Caenorhabditis elegans: one gene and its partners. The protein of the gene in region 1 interacts with the protein of each later gene in a pairwise test. Each region holds a gene or a part of one and is shown in the gene's direction. Other genes may lie near its edges. The genes, in order: F19C7.8, cat-4, scrm-2 and rimb-1.

Region 1 (6,281 bases):
ACACAAGAATAGTAGGAGAAGGAAGAAAAGGTGTCATATTTCGTGTATAAGTGTTCAATGACATTACAATGTGTGATAATAATTTTGTGATCAGTTGTGAAAGAGAGTTCAGGAAAAGTGCAAGTTTCGTGGCTCAGTGATTTTTGAGCAAGCCATCATTTTTTTTCTGGAAAGAGAAAATTGAAAAAAAAATGACGGATGATATTTTTTTTGCAAAAATTGTGAAGATTTTTTACTTTTTTCTTTCTGGCATACATCTCAATTGACTCTTCCATAACTGTATGATGAGACGAGACGCAGACAGGGAGAGTGTCTTGCCGTCTGATTGTGAGTCTCTCCTTTCCTCCATTCCATCATGCTAGAACGCGTTGCAACTCTGTGGAGCGCGATCCAATTCAAAAGTTTTCTGATAGCAAAATGTGCAAAATTACATGGGAAGCATTTTTGTAGTTTGCAATTTTCTGATATCTCGCTTCTCTGTGGAGTTATATTTGTTTCAAACAACCTGTTCTGAAAAACAAATATTGGAAAACTCGAAGAAAGATGAGCGGATCATATTTTCTGCAAAACCTGCAAGGTTTTTGATTTTTATTTGGCAGACATCTTTATTAACCTCAAAATAATGTCATAACTCATAAGGGATGAGACGCAGACAAGGAGAGTGCCTCGCCGTCTGTATCTTCCCTTACCTCCCTTTTTACTGGGTTACCTTCAACGGGTCGTATCTTCGTAGAGCATGCTTCAGTCAACAAAATTTCCAATTGACGAAATGTGCAAAATTACACGGGAAAGATTTTTGTAGTTGTCAATTTTTTGATATCTCCTTTCTCCGTTGAGTTATTTGAGTTTGAAAATGGCTGGGTCTGTGACGAGTTTCTTCAGACATTGGCTCTTTTTTGAAAAAAACTGAACAGTTGAAGAGCGGTGCTTGTAAAAATACTTGAAAAATATTCTCATCTCGTTTGCACCATGTCGCTTCAAATTTTAAGGTTTTTGGCTTTTTTTTTGAACAATGTGAACTTCTACAAAAGCGGGCATAAATCAATAAAAACGCCGTCTTCAAAAGTTTATAGCTTATTTAAAATCCAAACGGGACCCCAAAACTCTTCGCTCTTCCTTAGCTCAATCCAGGTAATTTATCTCCATATCCCCAAACAAAATTGAGCCATCAAGCGAAGAGGTGTAAAATTGTGCAATGCTCAGGGTATTGTGCAATTTATTCGAAATCTTTAGCAGAAGAAAACGAGAATAATGAGTTCTTGCGAGCCATTCGGATATTGGTCATCGCCGGGCAAGCCGGAGCAGCTGCTCTCGCCGCGTTCCGAAATTCCATCAGGATGACAACGTACTAAAAGAGCATTGTACGAAAAAAAACACGGAGAAAATTTGTGGCAGCACACACAAAAACACAACAGCCGCATAAATTTCTCTCCATTTTTTGTCTTCTTCGTTTCTTTCGACACACAGCTGATTTTACACAGAACATCAAAAAGTGAGGGTGGATAATGATGATATGGGCGGAGATGAAGATTTTGTAGTTTTGGGTAAAAAATAGAGGAAGAGAAGAAGATGAAGCTCAGTGTTTTTGGTTTTTTCATCTTTATCTCATCTTTTTTTGAAAATTAGTTGTCGGCAGAAAGCAAATGTACTAATTGAGTAGAGGATTTATGAGTTTTAAAAGTGAAAAAATATTAGGCTACATTTTCTTTTCCTAGAGGTTTGAAATAAGCCTACCACAAAAAGGCCTGCCTACCTTCAAGCCTATGCTTGGTACCTTGACGTTCCGCCTGGGCGCCTCTAATATGCCTTCCATTTGCCTCTGGACACTTATATCTTTTTACCTATATAGTTTTCGGTCGTTAGTGTATAACTCAAACTGTGCTACGTGTGTAGGCAGACGTAGCCAGCCTTGTAGGCAGGCAGGCTTTATGGTTTACATATAATCCCAACTTTAACAAAAATTAGTTATCTTTCTAAACATAAATTAAGCGAATTCGTGCTCTCATTCATGTATATTAAAAGCCCTTGGCACTCGTAGCTCAAAGCGTCATGCGTGTAGGCAGCCTTGTTGGCAAGCAGGCAGGCAGGCATCCATTTTTCTGCCTACACAAAATGCCTCCTATTGCACAAAAATGCCTGAAAAAGATCAACCGGTTCATCGTTCCCGTTCATGTAAGAGGTCTCAAATCGCGAAACTTTCCCTTCCAGTTTTTATCAGAAAAAATCTGAGCTTTGTTAGGCCCGAAACTCTTTGCAAAACTAAAAACTCAAATTCCATAAATCACAATTAAGCTGTTTCTCTGCTATTTTGTATCTGCTCAAAAGTCGGGATTTGTCATTCGAGAACTCGTGAGAACCTCGCCGCCCAATTAAATTTTTTGAGTATACTATGGTCTTGTGATCAGTTTTTTTGGACCAAGTCTAAAGTACATATATTTTTAATTTTATGCGGCGCGTGTGGTAGGCCTTTTCCAAACCTCTGGTGACTGAAAATTCAAAAAAAGAAACCGCAAAACCAGTAACTTGTAGTTTTAAAACTCTAACCTGGAACTTTGCGTCAAAAAACATATCAAAAACAATCCAGTAAAAGACTTTAAAAACCAGGACACATTTTGCACAGTGATTGACAGGGAAGTTGATTGTTTTTCAAAAATCGTTGTTTTTTTTCTAGAATATAAAAGTATATAAACCTTTAAATTTTGAACTCTCTCCAATCCATCAAATTTCCAAGTTCTCAAGTCAAGAAATACTCAATCAATCTCTCTTTGCAGGAAACATTGTGTGTGTGTGAGCAAAATGGAGTTTAAAGTATCATCAAGCCAACGGTGTTCATCTCCTCCTTGGTTCCTCCATCACCACCTGACCACCACTGCTGGAGGAGCCTCTCGTCCTCTTCCATTGCATCACCGATCGCACTCTGCTTCCACCCCCACTACCACTTCATCCATCACCGCATCACCGTCCTTATCTCAACTTCCTCCTCACCAGCCCTACCATCTTCATCAACAACAGCAACATCATCAACAGTTGCACAAAACCATGACAAGTGCACTTGAGAAATGTACATCTTCGCTGTCTGAAATACATAGATTATTAAGAGGTACGTTTTTATGCAAATGTTTGGAGTTATTGTGTTTGTGAGTGCTGTGGTTTTGACTTCTAAAAATGACTTCCAATTTTTTTTTTGAAATTTATTGTACCGTCAAACAGTAGTGAAAACTTGGTTATCATAATTTTGGAAGTCATATATTTTTTCTTACGACTTTTTCATACTTCAATTGCGCTGCGTTCAAAGTGTTGCTATTTGAACATTCTAGATTTGAACATTCTGAACATGCAGAAATTATAAAAGTTCTTTAAAAATTATAAATGTTTGGAGGATTCGGCAAATTACCAAATTTCGATTGAGTTTTGAAAACTCTTTTTTGAAATGTTTTATTATGCCCCACTTTTAAGGATACTATTCCCATGGATACTCGGAAATTTATGTAGTACTTGACAAAAAACTGAACTAAAACCTCCGAAGTTTTTTTTTTCAAAAATATTGATCGTGTTTCTTGATCTGTGTCATTTCAAGAGTGTAAAATTTCCTGCAAAATGTTATAGCAAAAGCCCAACGGTTCTTCAGATATGAGCTCAAATTGGAAATACATGATTGATCGGCAGCTTCGGCTTAAGTTATACAAAATTTTCCATGAAAAAACGAAACATACACCACCAAAATTCAAAATCAAATTAGATTTATGTTTTGAAAAATTTGCTGCTATGGCAATTTCTCTAATGCTCTCATAATTGTAATTAACAAAAAAAAACGTTTTTTTAACGTAAATAAATGAAAAAGATTTATTATACACGTGAACTTGAAATAAAGACGTAGTTCAATTAGTTGCATTTTTAAAATTTCATTCCACTGCTATTATTCTAGACTTTGCGGCATCCATAACTAGCGCTTTCGAGCCCTCGTCTTCTGGTAAATCTTGGGTTAAAACTGGCCAAGGCCGATCCAACATCACACCAGCTTTCCGGGAGGGTCCATTTACCATGAGTGTAGAGCTTGGCTACAAATTAAATTAAAAAACACACATGTTATATTCCACCATACCAAAGAGAAAAGATGGTTGTTCAGTTCTGTCTTCTGGGCGTCCGCACCTAGCACCAAAGTTGGTAATACCGGCGTTGTCAAATTTTTCGGAATCGATTTTTTCTGTGATTCCAATGATAACAGATCCTTTGGGACACCATTGAATCGATCTCCAGTATCCATATGGCGAATCATTGTAAATGACAATTTTGTTATCGATGCTTAGGGTATCTGAATTAGAAATTGAATTAGCTAGTTTACCAATTAGAATAGTTACTTCCGTCCGGTGGATTGCAGAAAAAAATCAGTTCAGTGACACCATGATCTAGGCTCAAAACGCCTCGTTTCGTTTCAAGTTTGAGTTGGAATCCGTTGATGACTGAGCCTTTAGGACATGCAATATAGTCCTCCCGCGTGGGTAAATTCCCATGGGCAGTAGTGTAGAACACGGTGAAGATGAGCAGTGCAATCAGCAGGTGCATAGTTGCAGCCGTTATTAATTGATTGAGTGAAATTAATTTCTTCTTCTCTTTTAATTTTTTTCGCTCCTTAAAAATTTTCAGGTTTTTGTTTGTTATTTTGACGATTCTACGCCCACATAGGAGAACAAAACTTTGAACACAACTAAACTGAAGTGACTAAACTCAATGGAAGTTCGAGAAAGCTGGCGTTTATGTTAACAATCTTTGTTCTTTGCGGCATTTCTATAACTGAAAAATTTGATAAATAGAGTTCTCTGTGTTGCTTAGATAAGAAGATGACAGATTAGAAATTTATTATACATGTAAATGCACAGTTCGAGGGAATGCCTTTTTAAAATTTCGTTCCAGAGGCAATACAAAAAGCAGTTCAGATTTTACGGCATCCATAACAAGCGCTTACGAGTCCTCGTCTTCTGGTAGATTTAGGGTTAAAGCTGGCCAAGACCGATCCAACATCACACCAGTTTTCCTGGGTCCATTTACCATGAGCATAGAAGAACTCTGCAAATTCAATCTCAGAACACACTAAATGTTATTTTATCACACCAGAGGCAAAAGATGGTTGAACAGTTCTGTCGTCTTGTGGACGTCCGCATTTAGCAGCCAAGTTGGTGATACCGGCGTTGTCAAGTTTTTCGAAATCAACTTTTTCTTGGATTGCAATAATAACAGATCCTTTGGGGCACCATGTAATCTGTCTCCAGTATCCATATGGCGAATTATTGTCTATTACAATAAAGTTATCGGGGCTTTGGTTGTCTAAATTGGAAATTTAATTACCTAGTTTACTAATTAGAATAGTTACTTCCGTCCGGTGGATTGCAGAAAAAGACGAGTTCAGTGACACCATGATCAGCCTCGAAAAGGCCTCGCAACGGTTAAAGTTTGAGTTGGAATCCGTTGATGACTAAGCCTTCAGGACATGCAACTAAGTCCTCCCGCGTTGGTACATTTCCATGGACAGTAGTGTAGAACACGGCGAGGGTGAGCAGAACACTCAGCAGGGGCATGTTTACAACAGACAATATTTGATTTGATTTATTTCAATTGATTAGAAAATCTTATATACTCACTACCAGAACGTGACCTTTCAATTAGAAAGTGTCAACGTTAATGATTAATTGATTGAAACTATTTTCAAAGACTCCTGTACTGTGAGACCTGTGAGAAATAGTTAAAACCTAATACCTCTAAAATGACCAAATATCAAAACAAAACTTAGACCTGTGAGTTCATTGTCTCAAGTTGTAGTATTCAGTCATATTACTCGAAATTAGAAAATTACAACCTTAAAAAACCTCCAAAACTTAGCTAGAGATTTGGTTGAATAAATTTTAAATAAATATTTTATAGAATTTCTTTGTCCAAGCTTTCTCAAATTTTTGGGAAAAAAACGAATAAAATAATAATTACATTTAAATCAATAATTTTTTAAACGAATATGATTGAGAAATCGTGTGGCCGCGAATTTTGAATTAAGGCCCTTTTATTGAATTTGAGCTGGTTGTTTCCCACTTAACTAAATTTTTCCGTTTTTCTTGTGGGTGAATCGAAACTTTAAATTTCAGTAATTTCCGCACATCCACCACTACTTCTTTAAGAACGCGTAAATTATGGCGTTTGGACATTGACTTATCAGTAGATTTATATCGGACTTAAATGTCAGAAAATCTCAAAAATTGTAGGCTGCATATTTACTCCCATGATATCCAAAATTC
Region 2 (5,487 bases), on another chromosome or scaffold:
TTGTCCATGCCCGGAGAGAACTTACGGAGTGGAACCAATGCCACCGGCACGTCAATACGAGGGAATATAAGTTTTATACATATATATATATATAAATTATGTTATTCTATTTTCTAGTTGGTTATTGGCTTGTTGGTTTTTATAATTGAATAAAAGTTAACAGCAAAAAAATTTGTAAAGGTTGCATGTTGCAGATGGAAATTGTAACATAAATTGACATAGTTGACCATTGTTTAAAGTAATATAAAGTTTATCGTTATTCTATAAGAAAAGAGAAGAAGATGGATACTTTCTGTTTATTTGTTTTCCTAATATATATGATTATTAATTTATGATGCTTTTAACGGGGTTTTTCTGAAATGCACCTCTTTTTATATCAACAGTCAAAATATTTTTGACATTTTGTTGAGTGTTTTGTATAATTGTACAAGATTCGTTGTTTATTTACATACATAATTGAAATACGAAAACCCACAATCTTAATTAATTTATGCTCAAAAAGGTGACCTTTCGTAACTAAATGCTAATGACCTTCAATTGAACAGAGGCGCTCGAAAATTAGTTCTGCATTCTAAAGTAGTACTGCAGTTTTTAAAAGTGATGCATTCAAAAAAAAAACCCAAAAATTAGTGCAGCACTAATAGAGAATATACGGTAAGCCTGTAGAGTTTGGTCTAATAAAGTCAAACTTGCGGTAATAAAAGTTTGAAGTGATTCTTATCAGGAAAATAAATAATTCCAAATCACATAATCCAGTTCATAATCTATTGACTCTTTCAACCGCGCCATTGAACATTCTAGTCTAAAAAATTGTGCAAGATGATGTTCACTAAATCATCACCAGTCAGAAAACCGTATTCCTTAGGACACTCTCTATGTTACTTGTTCTCTATGTTTCTGACGTAATCGCCGTCACTTAATTAATCCCGCAAACTCCTTTTGTGCACGATCTTATCTCAAAGGTGACAATTCAAAGTTCCTGAACCAATTTATCATGCAATGATTATAAACTCCATATAAATTGCGGCTTCAATTGGTAGTACATCATTAGCGGCGGCATTTTGCTTATGCTCTTATCTTATTTATAGTTCAACCTAATAAATTGCGGGGAACTTCCTCTACGAGTGTTACGGTATTATTTGGCAGTACTTTTCAGTAACAACTTTCGATTTTAATTTTTTACTTTTCAAGAATATTGACAATAGCTCAGTTTTTTCAAATAGTTCTTTTTGATTCTCAATCTCTAACTCTGAAGAACCAAAAGTTATGAGAGACTTCGAATAACCCAAAAAATCCTGATCATAACAAAATAGTATTTCAAGTTTTCTTGTTTTCATTCGTCATCACCTCCTCCCAACTTGTACCCAATCAGCCCAGAAATCGCAAATATAAGAAACGATATCTGATGAAAAAGAACTAGAAAACTAGGAAAACATTTACAAGTTCGAAACGCCTCTTCCCTCATCTTCAGCTGATTTTGGAACCGTTCTCGTCATTTCGTGTGAATGTCATCAAAACACATCGAGTCTGCCGGGAAAAAAAAGGCGTGGGTTTGATCTTTCTACTAGCTTTAACTGTTTCAACGAAATTCTTATGTAGGTAGTTAAGTAGAAGAATAGAAGAAAGTGAGTGTACTTCTTTAGACCCCTCAATTCTTTTCATTTTCTTTCTTTACTTTCTCATTTTTCCACCTGATGATGACTTAGAAAGGAAAGTAGTTAAAATTTTACAATTTTTGAAAACCGAAACTGTTGAATGAAATCGTTCCCAAATTTGAGGTCCTACTTTTTTGACATGGTGAAATATTAGAAATTGTATTTTATTTTTGTGGCTGTTGGCAGTATATATGAGAGTTTAACACGGTTTCTGTGTTGTACTAAACTCATTAGTAATTTTTTTGCCAGAATCTAGTTTATTTTTCAGATTGGTTGTTTCGATGAGTAATATTATTAGGTGTGATGAGTTTTAAAAATAGGAGGAGTATATTCTACCACATGTGATCCTATTATTGTTTTTAAATAACTTCCCAGGAGGACCATTTGATGAATTTCGTGAGAAATATATGTGAAGTTTGATAAATTCCAAATTTCGTTTTGAATATAAAGTTTCTCAATTTTTTCGATTGTAGTGCATGAAAGAGTAACTTGTAGATATTAATCTGCCAAAGTTTCGGCAACAAAACTGATAGTGAACTAGAAGTCCACGTGAGTGAAGGTCTATATCATTCCTCGCTGATTTACGATCCTTCTCTCTGTATCTCCTCAGACCAGTCCACTTTTTCTTTTCTTGTTGCGCCTATCCACCTAATCAATCGGTTTCATTTTCTTTTTACATGTTCCTTTTGTTTGCATAAATAAATTATTCTTCCTCCACATTTTCCTGAATACCTAGAAGTGCTGCCATGAAGGAATGGCGGAAAACGATTGATGTATGGGACGACGTCTTCCGTTTCTTTTTCGATTTTTTGCTATTTTCTTATTCTTTTTTTCTCATTTTTTCACATAAGTGGGAAAAGATGATGAAGTCTATCCATTCGACTAGATTGATTTCCTTCTGTCCCTTCATTTTGCCTATTTTTTCCCAGAATACCTTTCATAATACATGACGTGTTGTACCTTTTTTTTTCGTAATTTCTTCTTTCTTGCTTGGACATTGCACATATTCGGTTTCATCCGGCAATTATTTGAATGTCTATCCTTTCTTTTTGTCGCCTACGCTTTCTCAGCTTTCTTAAGATTTACCCACGGCTCATTTTCAATATCACCTTATTTCACTCACTTACTCAATCAATGTTTTCAGGCTTTACCCACTCTATCAACATCATAATATCAAAATGTCCAGAATTGAGAACGAAAGCGGATTTTTGTCATCTGACGCCGCAAGTGTTGGATCCGAAGACGATAAAGTTGAGATGAAGAAAAGAAACGGAACGATTCCAAAGGAAGATCATTTGAAATCAATGTGCAATGCCTATCAGAGCATCATTCAACATGTCGGTGAGTTCATGTGATTCTTTGGTTCGGAAAGTATTAGTCGATCAACAACAAATTTAAAATAAGCTGTTTAAGAATAGATTATAGAGTTCTGAAAACGTACTGTCAACTGTTTACGTCAGCAGAATTAGGAAAACTTTGGTTTCGATAAACATTTCAACACACTTTTTGATTCATTCTAGAGATTATAATGTTTTAGCATTTATTCATTATCAGTGACTCAAAGAATATTGATAAATATTTTCCCAAATATAAATTTGACCAAGATGTTTTGAAAGTCGATGATCTATAACTGATAGTTGTTATTGTCTGGAAGGAAGTTCAGTTCAATATATTCCACTCTCAAATCAAAAATCAAGATCGAAAATTGTTTTAATTTAAAGACTCATGACAAATTGTAATCTATTACATCACGCAATCAAGGTACCCTAGCACATCATCAGGAACTTGTGATTTCAATTGATATATCTATAACATAAATCAGAAAAAAATAGGTTGTGTCCGTTGATTATAAGGGAAAAAATGAAAACAAAATACATTTTCCCACGTTGACTGATTTTGGGAATTCAGGAGAAGACATCAATCGTCAGGGACTTCTGAAAACTCCAGAACGTGCTGCCAAAGCAATGATGGCATTCACAAAGGGATACGATGATCAACTTGATGGTCAGTTATAGCAATACAACGTTAAAGCTCAAAGTTTCATTTTTCAGAGCTCCTCAACGAGGCAGTATTCGACGAGGATCACGATGAGATGGTTATTGTGAAAGATATTGAAATGTTCTCCCTTTGTGAGCATCATTTAGTTCCATTTATGGGAAAAGTTCATATTGGATACATTCCAAACAAGAAGGTTCTTGGTCTGTCCAAGTTGGCAAGAATAGTCGAGATGTTCAGCAGAAGACTTCAAGGTAAATTGAGAAATTACATTTTTGATTGGAACCTAACCTAAACGTTCAAATATTTCAGTCCAAGAACGTCTTACAAAGCAAATTGCCACCGCAATGGTTCAAGCTGTACAACCATCCGGAGTTGCAGTTGTTATTGAAGCTAGTCACATGTGTATGGTAATGAGAGGAGTTCAAAAGATCAATGCTTCCACCACAACATCCTGCATGTTGGGAGTATTCCGTGACGATCCAAAGACTCGCGAAGAATTCCTTAATCTTATCAACAAACGCTAAAAATTCTAGTCATTTCCTTTTTTACTTGTTTTTTTGGGTTTTAACTGTTACTAACTTTTCATAACTTTCCATGTGAATCTACTAACATCTTATGCTTCAGCTTTTTAAATTCATACAACATGTTCATTGCCTGGATACTGTAATATGCTTTTATTGTACATGCAATAAATTACTAAATACCAGATAAATAAAAACAAAAACAATTAACTGGGAAATGAAAGTGATAAAGCTAGCCCAGAAGCACAAACTAAAAAATTAGGAATGAAGGACCAGTGAATTGGGGAAGTTTACAGAAGAAGCGTGAAATAAAAGCCACCGTAATTAGTCAAACAATCACAATCATACACAAGAAATAAACCAGATTGAAAATTAAATAAATATTTTACAAAGAAAAGTCCTATTCAAACATAATGTCATTAAGCGACTCGAGCTCCAAATTACGGCAACTTTCCATGTTTTTCACATTTTGTTGATAAAACATGTAATCTTTTGTGACATATCTGAAAATAGTACATTATAGTTGAAATTTCAGTAATTTATTCTTACCCGTATTTTAAAGGGTCATGAGGTGTGATACCCATTCCAGTGACGTGTTCTCGTAAGTTGGCTTTAAAGTTTTCGTGTACTTGACGGAACAACGCCTCGATCTGATCTCTTGGCATGATGCCAACCAGTCCATTGTGGAATTTCAGCATATGGCGACAAATTTGTTGAAATTCTGGCGATGGAATCACTCCTTTCACATCCCACATTCCAAGACAATTTGTTGTATAATGAGCTATTACACTTATTAATTTGGCAGCAATTTCGTTGACGTGATCGCGGTATTCACTTTCAACCTGCTTGAAGTACCGAAGCAGACTTTTTCGATTTTCAGGAAGAACTCTGTCCATCTCATCATGAACCATCGGAATGAAGCGGCATACTAACTCGAGTGATCGACCTGCGAGTGCTGGAAAAAAGAACACTTTTTACGGTAAAACTTTAGAGCAATACCTAAATTTCGAACAGATATAGTCTTTAATCCAACCAATTGTAGGGCACCTGCACCTAAAATCAATTGACAACACCGACTGTTAAATGTTTTCAGTAATTCCACAACTCGCGAATTCCAGTCTTGGGAAAATGATGGCATTTCAGATATGGCTTCACAGTAGTCAGAAAGGAGCTGGATCATTGTTATTGATGATCTGAAATTAAAATATTAATATTCGTAATCCTAAATCCAAAATTTGAAACAAACCCAACAACAACATAGTTCTCTTCATCAACAATTACACCTTGAATTTGATTTGAAGTAGATGTTGTTG
Region 3 (5,551 bases), on another chromosome or scaffold:
CAGCTACCTTCCAGTTTGTATCTTCCGGTAAAGGAATCCTCGAAGCCATCCTCAAATCCTTGTGATAGCTTTCGCCAAGCGATTGCAAAAACGCCGTCGGAATATTTGAATCACGAAAATGTGCAGTTCATTGTGTCCGTTTTCGGTGACGCCACGTGTTTTTTGAAAGCTTTTCAAAGTCAGTTCAACGGGAATTCGCGGAAAAAGAGCTTCTTCTACAATGGAATTCTTGTTAATTCAAATCTAACCAATTCAAATAATCAATCGATCAGAATGGTGATTCCGGATTTGGTGAAAGCAATTAACACAAGCAGTTAGTAATTTGAAGCCATCTGCCTTTTAAAAAATGTCTTTTTTCAGGAGTCTCCCTTGTAGGTTCCGACAAAATCAACGAGGTCCATGAAAGTGCTCATTTGGTTCAGAGTTATGCGAGCATGTATGTCCTGATCCTGTTCACCTTTGAAAATTATAAAAATTTTTATTCAGGATTCGAGATATCCTTCTTGGCAATAGTGTTCACGACTGGGAAGAAATTCTGACAACTACACTTGCTCCGGTGACGTCAACCATGCCCCCAACAGCAAAAAGAGCAGCATCGATAGACGATGAGGGAGAAATGTTGACGTTCGATGGTAGTGCGGATGAGGAAGTGGTGATTCCTCCATCAAATGCTACTAATTCGACGTCTACAATTGCTCCGACAACTCATACAATCCTCTCGAGCACAACAGAAGTGAAGACTACTAGAAAGCAATTCAAAAAGATTGTTCCGATTCCCAAACCATCGAAGATCCCGTCTCGTTCTTCGACAGCTCGTCCCACAACAACCACTGAAGAATACGATGCGGATACGGAAGAAGACGCCGAAAAACTTGAAATGATGTCAGGGAAGAGGAAAGTGGATAATGGAACTACTGTATATGTTCCCAGTGATCCGGATGCCCAGGAAGGTTAGAATTTGGCACGAGGAGTAGGCGATCACGCCTCGTCGATCTAAGGCACACTGAGCAGATCAGACCTAATTGCGACCTGCTCGGCAAACTCCACCAGCTTTCACGTAGTGCGCGTTTGAAATTTGGTAATTTGAGATTAATTGATAAAGGCCTAGTGGGTTTGCGCCGCCTGCGACCAAAGAATGATTGGACAGACTAGGAATCCCAGCTGAGTGAGGCGCGAAATGCGGGCCTCACGCTGATACCGCTGTGTATTCGAATGTGTATTCAAAATATATTCAAATGCAAAAAGGCAGTTATTTGAAGCAGCCGACACTGTCGGGGTTCACTATACATTCGGATACATGCGGCTTGAGTGACGCCGTGAGGCCGGCGCGGTGACCGCTGAGGCCAGCGGATGCGCCGTTGCGGCGACTTCATGGAAGCCCTAGCACATACCTATCTAAAATACTGCGCCAGAAAGCTGACAACATTCTGGAGAAAGTATCTACACTAACTATAAGTTAACTCGTCAGCACTGTTGCCAGCTATACCGTTACCAATTTTCTTACAGGAATCGATGCGAACATCCTTATCTACATCCTACTCCTTGTCCTTCTCATTTGGTGCTTCTGTATTGCCCTGTGTCTTATTTGGATGTACGTGTGTGCCAAGCAACGAAAACACAAGATGATCAGTAAAGCTGAAGAGGAACGTGAAGCTATGTTGGCACTTTTGGAGAAAGGACACGAGACGGAGCACAGTTCTCGTAGAGCTAAACCATCGGTTTCTGTGGAAAGTGATGAGTTTGATAAGGAGTGGAAAAATGTGAGTTACAAAAACAGTTATTGATTTTTTTTCCAATTTTTAAATTGCAGATCAAACCATCCAAGTACACCCCCGCTTCTGTTTCCACTAACGAAACTAAATCCGAATTGGAGAGTGTGAAGCAACCGGTTGCAGCTACCCATGTCGCTCCTGTAGAAGTTTCAGAGTTCGAGGAGAGGCTCGATGATGATGTGGATCATAAGCCAAGACATGGAGGATATGTTAAGACGAAGAGAACTGCTGACTTACATTTTGACTGAAAATGAATAAAGTTTATGAGGGAATTAAATGGAATGTTAGTTGATGACTCAGGAATAAATTTTCGATAATTCCCAAGAGAAATGTGGTGACCCCTGGTAGCTTCTAGGTAATTGCAAATGAATTCTCGTATGAAAATGTTATAAATTGAAAAAATTCTCTCAATTTTTAGTACACGAGTACCCTGAACCTTGTGCTGTTTTCAAAGTATGTGTGTCTAGCTTCCCTCTTCGTCTATGCGCCTCTCACTTTCCGAACACATTCGCTGGTCCCACTTTCTGAACCCGCTTTTTCTCTGTTTCATGTTTTTTGAGCATCAATAAAAACAACGAATGTTTCCTACTTTTGACCAGTTTTCCGGTTTCAACTGTTCAGCAATTTTTTTCGATCTAAAGCAATAGTTTTTACTGTAATTTCTGTAGTGTTTGAAGAAAACCCCACGGATTTATGAGTTATAAAATATCAATATGCGTTTTTAAGTGTTTATTTCGACGAAATTTTTTTTACCTCTATTTTTATCAGTTTTAGAGCTCGATGAGCCGAGTAAAATTATTGAGTAGTCAGTAAACTCTTTTATCTATTTTTTCTATTTTTGAGCACCAATTTTGTAACAAAATGAAATTTAAGAATTCGGACCAATCTTTGCTTAGTTAAGCGCAATTTCAAACAATCAGCAACCCGTTTTTTATAAGTTTCAGATTCGAAATAATGGATCAACTATTTTATAATGGACCACCTGATTACGTTGAAATTGAAGACCGAGCCATAACAACTGAACCAGGAGCTTCTATACAAGCAGCTCCCGGAGCAATTTGGATGGAAGCACTTCCAGCGATTGAGGGAATCCCAGCAGGGTTGGAATACCTTGCCTACTTGGACACGGTCATGGTGCATCAAGTGAAGGAGGTTCTTGAGATTCTTACTGGATGGGAGAGTAAAAATAAGTATGCTATTAGAAATAAAAATGGACAGCAGTGTTACTATGCGTTCGAAGAATCCAACGCTTGGGAGAGACAGTGTTGTGGATCGCAACGAGGTTTTACGATGCACATTGTGGATAATTTTAACAAGGTGAGTTATGGCCTAGAGATGCAGATTTCTAAGCCATGAAGCTTGAGTTCTTATCACTTTTTAACTCCTGATTATTTCATGGGATGTGTAATAATAGGAAAACATTCCTAAAGTTTCTTGAAAATTCTTTTAAATTAAGTTTTTAAAACATTTGTTTTGTTAAGAATGTGCTCATCGTCAAACGAGAATTAAGATGCTGCGCAGACTCATTTTGTGGATGCTTGCTAGGTCTTCAAAACATATGCACCATTGAATCACTATCAACTGGCCTTCTGGGTACTGTCCTTCAAGGATATGGTTGCACGAATTCATTCTATAACATTTTGGATAAAGATGGAAATCTGATTTTCCTAGTTGATGGTCAAGGATGTTGCACAAGTTGCTGCTGTGAAGATAAGGATTTTACGGTGACAAGACTTTGCCGAATTTAAAATACTCCATACTTTTCAGATCAAAACTCCCGACAGCTCCGTGCCAATTGGCTCAATAACCAAGAAGTGGGGTGGACTATTGCGTGAAGCGTTTACCGATGCCGACACTTTTGCAGTCACCTGTGAGTTAGTCTTGAAAGTGAAAGAATAGTTGAAAGAATTTCAGTTCCCATCGACCTTGATGTCAAGCTCAAAGCGATACTGCTGGGAGCCACATTTTTGATTGTGAGTTTTTGTGCTTCTTATCCAAAATTTAATTTAACTATTACTCTATTTTCAGGATTTCGTGGAGTTCGAAAATAATAACTGATGTGGAAAAACTGGAAATCTCGCAATGCACTTCTCGCTTGTTTTCTGCGATCAGAGCTCTAATTATGAAATGATAATGTGCTTTCTTTGTATGCATGTATATTAAAATAAGACATTTTGCAAACGCGCCGTTTGCATCGCTTTGCTTCTTTTCTTCAACATCTTCAAAATGAAATAAAATAATTATAATTATATCGCACTTCCAATAAGCGTAAAGCAAGAACGATTGAATATATAACGGAGAAAACTCCGATATTAAAAATCTAGAAATCTTTTGATTAAAAATCTTTCGGTAAACTGATAAATACAAATTTGGCCTACTTTTCACCTGTATCGTTACCACCGACATGCTCTACTGCCATGCACATCTCTTCAATTCCGTGATTTACGAGACGAGAGGCAATAAAGATCACAGTTACGTTTTTTAAAGATTACAACTTTTTCAACTTCTTAGATTTTCACGAATACTTCCTTGTTGCATGTCTACGAAGCAAGCCTGCTGCCGAACCCAATTCTTTCAAAACGAACTATATTCATTTTTCAACCCTTTTTGATAAGTTTATCTTTTGTTAAAATATAAGAAAATGTCTTCGGAAGATCCTATTTATTCACAAAACGAATCACTGTTGTTAGGCAGTTCTAACAAGTAAGTTTCTTTTTTTGCACTGCTAGTGAGCCCAAGATTTTCCAAATAAAAGATTAATTTTGGCCATTTTATATTCAAAAAATTTATTAAAGGAAGTAAAACGTTTATCGTTCAGTTTTTCACAAAAAAATATATACATAAAAATTTGCGAAAACTCTGAATATTTTTTAAGATCCCAAGCAAGTAATTCTTCTAAGACAATCGCTAAAAGAGCTACAGTATTCATTGGAATCTTGTTCATAACAACGCCAATTGTTTTTGGCTTGTCCGAAGTTGTTGGTAAGAATAATGAGGAAAGTGAGAAAAGCGATATATGTTAAATAATTAAGAAATGGATGTTTCAGGTTCTCCTAAAAATCAAACATCTGAAACCACTACAGCAGAAAATAATACAACTCGTGAGTGTTATATGTATTTTTCAGAAAATGATATGATAGTTGTCGTATTTTTTCGTGTGCGGCAAATTTGTTGAATTTGGAAATTTTGCCGTTTGCCGTGCAACGGCAAATTTCAAATTCTATTCATAAAGTCTATTCATAAAGTATTCATATAGCCCAAATAAACTGTATACTAAAGTATTTCCAGTTTCAGTTGTCCATCGTACATCCTTCAAAACACAGGAGAAGATGGTCCAATTGATTCCGAAATCAGGACAAGACTACATAAAATTCACTTATGACATAATCAAGGACACCTATTCTTATGATAACGTCGATGGAACCCCAGTTAGGCCAATTGTTGCTTCTAATATAGAGCGAGTCAGACAGAGAACATAACGAAGCATACTTACATCGCAAGAATTATCTCGAATATGCACAAGTAAGTTTTCAATTATATCAACAAAGTTTATTAATGAGTTTTAGATGCGTTGGTCGTTCAATGTGAAGAATGATGGAAAGAGAGTTGAAAAAATAATGTTTCAAAATTACCGGAACAGAACCACTTGATACTTTTGCCGTTGAAGCATTTCCTGAAGCTTGTTATTCAACAGGCCACAACGTCTGATAAACAGATTTATAAAAATTTCTAATATTACTTTTCAGATAAGTTGCACCTATTATCCGTTGAACGGATAT
Region 4 (6,616 bases), on another chromosome or scaffold:
CAGAGCCAGCAGTTTTCCTCTTCTTCTCCATCTTCTTCTGCTTCTTCCTCTCTTCCCAAAAAAAAAAAAAAAAAAAAAGTGAGGGGGCTCACTGCCCCCCCCCCCCTCCCCCCCCCCTCTTCTCCTTGAAGCTCATCCAGACGTCGCTGTCCTCCTCCTCCTCGTCCCCGGGGCGCTGTGTGTGTGTGTGTGTGCTCCGTGAGCATGTAGCAGCTTCAGCCCATTTAAAGGCGCACACTCTCTGCATCTCTGCGTGTCTCGACACTCGTTTTTTCTCTTCTTTTCTGCTGCACACACACACACACACACACACACGCTCATGCCAGAGCACTTCTTGCTCCGGGGGGCTCCGCGCGGAGCCCGAGAGGACCTCCTCCTCCTTTTTCTTCTTCGCTTTTTAGTTCTTCTTGCCTCGGTCTCGCCCCTTGTTTTGCTCTCCATGTAGTATATACATCTGGGTGTGTGTGTGTGTGTGCACCTTTGGAGCATTTTTTGAACTTTTCCAGAACTTTGGAGCAACATTTTCAGCTTGTTCAGTGCACTTTTTAGGCTGAAAATCCTATTTTTAGGTTTTCGAAAGTTTTTTTGGAGCATTTTTCGTGCAATTTAGGTGCAAAATTAAAAAAAAGGGTTTTGTAGTGAATTAAAATTTTTTTGAAACTTTCGCCTTTTTAAAAAAATGTTTCTAATATCTTTAAAAATTGGAATATTTTGGAAAACAATTTGTTTTCAATTGGCAATTTATTAATTCTGAGCTTCTGAGCGTAAATTTTTTTTTATTTTGGAGCAATTCTGAGATGTCTTAGTGCATTTTTCGGGCATACATAAAAAAAAATTTATCTTAATAATAAAAACCTTAAATTTAGGCTTCACCGTCTGGAAATTCAATTTTTTCAGCTGAAAAACTTTCAAAAAAAAAAAAATTAAATTTTCACATTTATTTTCTCTGGAATTTTGGAGCAATTTCAAAGCTGTCTTAGTGCATTTTTAGTACACAAATATTTTTTCATTTTTCTTAAATTTTAATAATCTAAGCTTAAATAAAGGCTTCACCGTCTGAAAATGCAACTTTTTTCAGATGAAATATTAAAAAAAAAAACCTCTTTTATTAATTTTGTGCTCCAAACTTTCCCACGGTACGCAAATCATGTAATATGTACTTTTAAACATTATTTTTCCAATCAAAAATATCCAACAGCTTTTCCTTACAATTTGAAAATTTTTATTAAAATTTCAAAAAAATTTTTTTTTTTTTTTAATTTCGAATTTTTTTAAACTTGTTGTAACTTTTTTCCCTGTCGGCGCCAATTAACAAAATACGTAGAATTTTGCGCTTATTGTTTTGTTAGTTAACAAATTTTTGACAACTTTCTTATCAGCTGAGATTTAGGTGTTTCAGTTCGCAATCTGCGTCTCTCCTTGCTCTCCTCTATTTTAAAACCCCCATAACTTTGTTCTTGTGAGAGTTATCAAAAAATTGTCAACTAACAAAATATAGAGCACAAAAATATGCACATTTTGTATGTTGACAATTTTTTGATACCTTTTTTAGTTTTCGAGATATCTTAGTTTTAGTTTAGCTGTACCTTTTTCTGGCAAAAAACTTCCAAATTTCGGCAATTTTTCGGCAAATTTCCCGGCAAATTTCGCCAAGTACATCGGGCTCTCAGACAAGTGGTCTGTGAGTGGAAGTCGATAAAAGTAGTTTACGTGCTCTCCGTCCCCCCGCTTCTTCTCCGTCTCTGCTTCTATTTCTCCATTGACTAGTCCCACTACTTTTTACGGGGCGGAGGGCTCTCTTGCACTCCAGCTTCTTCTCTTTTTGTGCTCTTTTTTGCCCGTATGTGGGTGCTCATTTATTTTTCTTTGGTTTTAAAATAAATTCGGTTTATTAGGCTACTCGTAAAAATGAAGAAAAAACTTCAAATTCAAACGACATTAAAAAAAAATTTAATAAAAATTTTTTGAATTGCTCAAAAGCCCCACCTATATATATATATAGCTCCGCCTACTTCTCGCACAGACCCCGCCCACTTTTTGACTCCGCCCCCTTATTGGCAAAAGTTCTTGAAAAAAATAAAAATAAAAATTCAAATTGAAACAATTTTTTTTTAATGAAGTAGTTTTTTTCTAAATTGATGAAAATTTCTAAACAGTTTACAAGCACCGCCCACTTTTTGACTCCGCCCCTTTGTTGGAAAAATTCTTGTAAAAAAAAATAAAAAATAAAAGCTTCTCTTTCAAACGATTTTTAGTTGGTTTTTGTATGAAAAGTTTTTTTCCTAAAATAGAAATGTCTGAATAATTTGCAAGCTCCGCCCTTTTCTTACCCAGACTCCGCCCCTTTATTGACTAATTTTTTTTTGTCCATTTACCTGAAGTTCAAAAAAAAAATTTACAGTTTCATAGAGTAATAATTTTTCAAAAATCTCTTTTTCCAATGTTTAATGTGTCATTATAAACCCGCCCAGTTTTAAGCTCCGCCCATTTAGGCCCCGCCCATTTATGACCCAAATATTTTTTTCTCTATTCACCCGTGGATTTCCCTCCAACAAGTTACCCCAAAAATAAAAATAAAAATTCCTGCAGGCGCCCACCGGGATCTAACATCGTGGCCTCTTCCAACAACAACCATCAATCGTCTACACCATCATTCGGCGGTAGGTTGGACCGTTTTTCTTGTTGTCGACAATTATGCTGTGTCAGGACTAGAAAATCTGAATTCAGCACGCTGAGAGCTTCAAAATAAGCCCCATATTGCCTAGGTTCTAATAAATATGAAAAAATTTGGTCTCGCCACGAAAACTTGTAGGGTTTGGTAGTCTTGGTGAATTTGGGTTAGTCTTATTTTTCCTAGTTTTTTTTGATAATTTTGACACAATCTGAGCTAAAAATTGAGAAAAAATCTTAAAAAATAATAAAAATATGGATTTTCGAAGATTTTCGAAGATTTTCGAAAATCGATAACTTTGCGAATTTTAATTTTTTCTACCTGAATTTAGTTTCGAAAATTTTGTAATTCTTTGAAAAGCTTTAGAAAAATATATTTAACATTCTACACAGTACCCCGGGACTTTTCGTGGCGGGACCCAAATTTTTAAAATAGTCGGGGCCTAGCCAAGATGGGTGTTAAATGAAAGGTCTCGAAGGGCTAAATTCAAATTTTTAGGTTACAAAGCTTTAAATTGAGTTTTTAATTTTTTTTGAAATTAAAAAAAAAAAAAATCCAAAAAAAAAATCCAAAAAAAAATCCAAAAAAAAAATTTCAAAAATTTAAATTATTAATTTCAGGTTCGTGGGGTCCCTACAACAAGGCGGACCACCTAGTCACCAACTGAATGCTGGGCGGTCTGTCGGGACCCGGTCCGCCGCCCCCACCACCCCCCGCATCCTCCTATGGCATGGTGCCAGGCCCGTCGACCTCGTTCACCAACCATCTGGGTCCCACGACGTCATCCGCGTCTACAGTACCACCGACGAGTGACGCGTTGCTCCTGCAACTCCGTTCGAGACCCAATTCTCGCGTTTTTCGCGCCCTTTTTCAATATCTACCGTTAAGGGATTCGCCGAACGAGAATCCACAGCTCGAGCTGAGCCTTCAGCCGGGAGATGTGGTTCTGGTGAAAGGGGAAATGGATTCGGATGGATTTTATTGTGGGGAAACGCTGGATGGACGTCAGGGACTGGTACCATCAAATTATGTAGAGAGGTGAGCATTTTGAAGCTTAAAAATTGAGCTTTTTATACTTTTTTGGGCGAAATCTCACTTTTTCCCGTGAAAAAAGATTTAAAATTCGGAGTCTGAGATTGAAAATACAAAATTCGAATTCTCTGTGTTCAGAGCTTTCAAATGACCCCCATATTGGCTATATTCCGCCAACTTTGAAATTTCCGGGTCCCACCACGGAGGGGTACTGTAGTTTTCGTGGCGGGATCCGAAAATTTTCAAAAATGACGGAACCTAGCCGATATGGGGGTCATTTTAAAGGTCTCAACGAGACGAGTTCATTGGAGCAGGTTTTATGTGAAAATTCGATCATTTTTGAGGAAAAAAAATTTTTTTTGTTCAAAAAAGTTTTTTTTTTTTAATTTTTGTTTTAACCATGTTTTCTGTAAATAATCAGAATGAGCATAATCTCAGCTTCAAAATAGTAATCCGCCATACTTTGAAAATTCGGGTCTCACCACGAAAACTCCACCGGCTACTGTAGTTTAGACGGAAAGTTTGCAGTTTTATATTTCTAATAAATTTTTGAAAACTTTTCATATACCCTGTAAAAAATTTGTGCTGAGTAGCATAAAAATTGACAAAGTTACGGATTTTCGAAAAGATTCAAAAAAATCAAAATTTTTAATTTTGTAAAATATTTAAAAATTCTGTAACACGAAAAAAAGTTTGATTTTTTCTATTTTACCATTATTTTCGAATTTTTCACGCTATTCGCTTTAATTTGACAGCCAACATTCCCAGGCTCCGCCAATTTTGAAAATTTTCGTGGTGGGACTCAACAATTCAAAAAATTTCAATTTTACCAAGAACCTAGGCATGATGGGGGTCAAATGAAAGGTCTCAAAAAACTAAATTTGAATTTTGTATTAGTTTAACTTTTTTGTCAGCATCCTCAGGGTTACGGTAGATTTTGAACTTTCCATTGGAAAATTTTTTCGGAAAAGTTTCGAAAATCCATAACTTTTCTCATTTTTGAGATTTTAACTTGAATTAAAATGTATAACAATTGTGAGTATTTGAAAAATATGGCAAAAATAATATAATTCTGAAAAACTCGAAAACTACAGTTCCCTGGGGCTTTTCGTGGCGGGACCCAAATTTTAAAATTAAAAGGATATAGGCATGTGTTGGGGTCATTTTGAAGCTCCCAACGCGGTGAATTTCTAATAAAACGAAAAAAATTTATATTTTGAATAAGGAAAATGAAAATAATTTTAAGAATAATTTTCAAAAAAAAAAAAAATTTAAAAAACTTTTTTTTCTAAATTTTTTTATTTCTCCAAAATTTAGAAAATAAAACCAAATCTTTTCAGAGTTCCGGATTCAGTGCTCCTGGCAAATGCACGGGCTCCATCACCATCATTCCCGCTTCGAATACCCCAACATTTCTCGACAATCACACACGACTTCTCCTCTCCGGATCACTCAACACTACCCGATTCTGTAAGTTTTTGAGGAATTTTTAAAGAAAATTTGGCTAAAAATTCTTTCAAATTCAGTTTTGAAAAGCAATTTTGAAATAAAAAAAATTTAAAAAATTTTCTGGAATTTTTTTTTTTTTGAAATTTTTTTAAATTAATTTTTTCAAAAATATATAATTTTCAAATTTTTCAGGTTTGCCCTTACCCACCAGCTGACGTCACAAAAGTTACTGTACAAGAGATCAAGAACAACGAAACGCCTAGGAGTGAGTTGAAAATTTTAAAACATTCTCGAAAAAAAATTTTTTTTTTTCGAAATTTTCAAATATCGAGCCGCTACTCAGCCAATTTTCGAGATAAGCTCTTGAAAACTAATAATTCAATTTTTTCTTGCCAGTAGCTTCAATTTAACACCCATATCGGCTAGGCTCCGATGAAAAGCCCAGTTTTCGAAATTTTTTCCGGGTCGCGCCACGAAAACTCTGGGGGTACTGTAGGTGATAGATGTCTTTGACTTTTTGTATTTTTGCAAAGTAACCAAACTTAAAACACATGTTTTAGGCTAAAAATCAGCTGAAAATCTCAGATATTGATAAAGTTACAGATTTTCGAAAAATTCCAAAATTTTTAGAATTATTGTGTTGATTTTTTGAAAAATCTACATTTCGTAAACTTTCATGGAAGATATATTTGGCTAAAATTATTGAATTTGGTACAGTCGTTGTCTCTTTTAGGCTCCGCCTACTTTTGATGGGTCTCGCCGCGAAAAGTTTCGAAAATCCGTAACTTTTTCAATTTTCAAGATTCTAGCACAATTTTTTTTTCAAAACGTATGAAAACGTGTTGAAAATTCGTTTAAAATTAAACTTGAGCACGGTATTTGGATCTACAGTAACCCAACGGGTTTTCGTGGTGGGACCCAGAAATTTTCCCAATTTTTAAAACAGGCGGATTATAGCCAATATGGGGCTCATTTCGAAGCTGAAAATGTAGAAAAAACGAATTTCTGAAGTAAATTTTAAAATTTATTGGAAGTAAGAAATTTTAGTGAAAAAATAAAAAAATAAATATAAAATTTCCCAGATTTATAATTTATTTCTTTAATATCTGCACTGAATCTATAAAATTTATAAAAGAATAAAGCCTCAAAACTTTTTGAATAATTCATTTTCCGTGGGGGCCCCATATCCAAAAATGGGCAAAAAACGGAGACGCAGAGCACCAGCACTAATTCCATTTGGAAAGGGGGCTCACAAAGTGTGTGTGTGTGTGTGCTCCGTGAGCAGTAGTAGGCAGCACACAGCTAATCTGAACTGACAGATGACCCGTGGAGAGAAAAAAGGAAAAAAATGGGGAGGGGGAGGAAGCTTCTTTTATATTGAAAAGAGCCGGCGGCGAGCGGAGCTCCTTGATATTTTTGGGTGTTTGAGGGACTGAAAGATGAAACCAGAAATTTGCTAAAAAA

Evidence for each region.
Region 2: the proteins of F19C7.8 (region 1) and cat-4 interact in a two-hybrid assay, tested with the Caenorhabditis elegans proteins (one large-scale study listed by BioGRID).
Region 3: the proteins of F19C7.8 (region 1) and scrm-2 interact in a two-hybrid assay, tested with the Caenorhabditis elegans proteins (one large-scale study listed by BioGRID).
Region 4: the proteins of F19C7.8 (region 1) and rimb-1 interact in a two-hybrid assay, tested with the Caenorhabditis elegans proteins (one large-scale study listed by BioGRID).

Annotation. Positions count from the first base shown.
Region 1 is NC_003282.8:4,634,611-4,640,891, reverse strand, and holds the start of F19C7.8 (SH3 domain-containing protein), read left to right. Parts: upstream 1-2,796; coding exon 2,797-3,100; intron 3,101-3,921; coding exon of another isoform or gene 3,922-4,058; intron 4,059-4,102; coding exon of another isoform or gene 4,103-4,312; intron 4,313-4,358; coding exon of another isoform or gene 4,359-4,563; exon of another isoform or gene 4,564-4,591; intron 4,592-4,930; coding exon of another isoform or gene 4,931-5,064; intron 5,065-5,109; coding exon of another isoform or gene 5,110-5,322; intron 5,323-5,368; coding exon of another isoform or gene 5,369-5,441; intron 5,442-6,281. Other genes in the region: R105.5 (Vitelline membrane outer layer protein 1), read right to left, coding at 3,922-4,058, 4,103-4,312, 4,359-4,563.
Region 2 is NC_003283.11:10,562,081-10,567,567, forward strand, and holds cat-4 (GTP cyclohydrolase 1), read left to right. Parts: upstream 1-2,799; 5' UTR 2,800-2,833; coding exon 2,834-2,996; intron 2,997-3,563; coding exon 3,564-3,659; intron 3,660-3,706; coding exon 3,707-3,904; intron 3,905-3,962; coding exon 3,963-4,177; 3' UTR 4,178-4,359; downstream 4,360-5,487. Other genes in the region: col-152 (Nematode cuticle collagen N-terminal domain-containing protein), read left to right, coding at 1-70; vps-54 (Vacuolar protein sorting-associated protein 54), read right to left, coding at 4,575-4,677, 4,724-5,129, 5,174-5,367, 5,421-5,487. UniProt on the Caenorhabditis elegans protein: Involved in serotonin and dopamine biosynthesis that affects movement, mating behavior, foraging behavior, and cell migration.
Region 3 is NC_003279.8:13,232,641-13,238,191, forward strand, and holds scrm-2 (Phospholipid scramblase), read left to right. Parts: upstream 1-2,707; 5' UTR 2,708-2,726; coding exon 2,727-3,089; intron 3,090-3,253; coding exon 3,254-3,496; intron 3,497-3,539; coding exon 3,540-3,642; intron 3,643-3,686; coding exon 3,687-3,745; intron 3,746-3,800; coding exon 3,801-3,830; 3' UTR 3,831-4,023; downstream 4,024-5,551. Other genes in the region: ZK1053.2 (uncharacterized protein), read left to right, coding at 1-313, 361-436, 487-950, 1,507-1,760, 1,811-2,020.
Region 4 is NC_003281.10:1,785,746-1,792,361, forward strand, and holds the start of rimb-1 (Variant SH3 domain protein), read left to right. Parts: upstream 1-2,587; 5' UTR 2,588-2,660; intron 2,661-3,291; 5' UTR 3,292-3,338; coding exon 3,339-3,709; intron 3,710-5,043; coding exon 5,044-5,173; intron 5,174-5,344; coding exon 5,345-5,417; intron 5,418-6,616.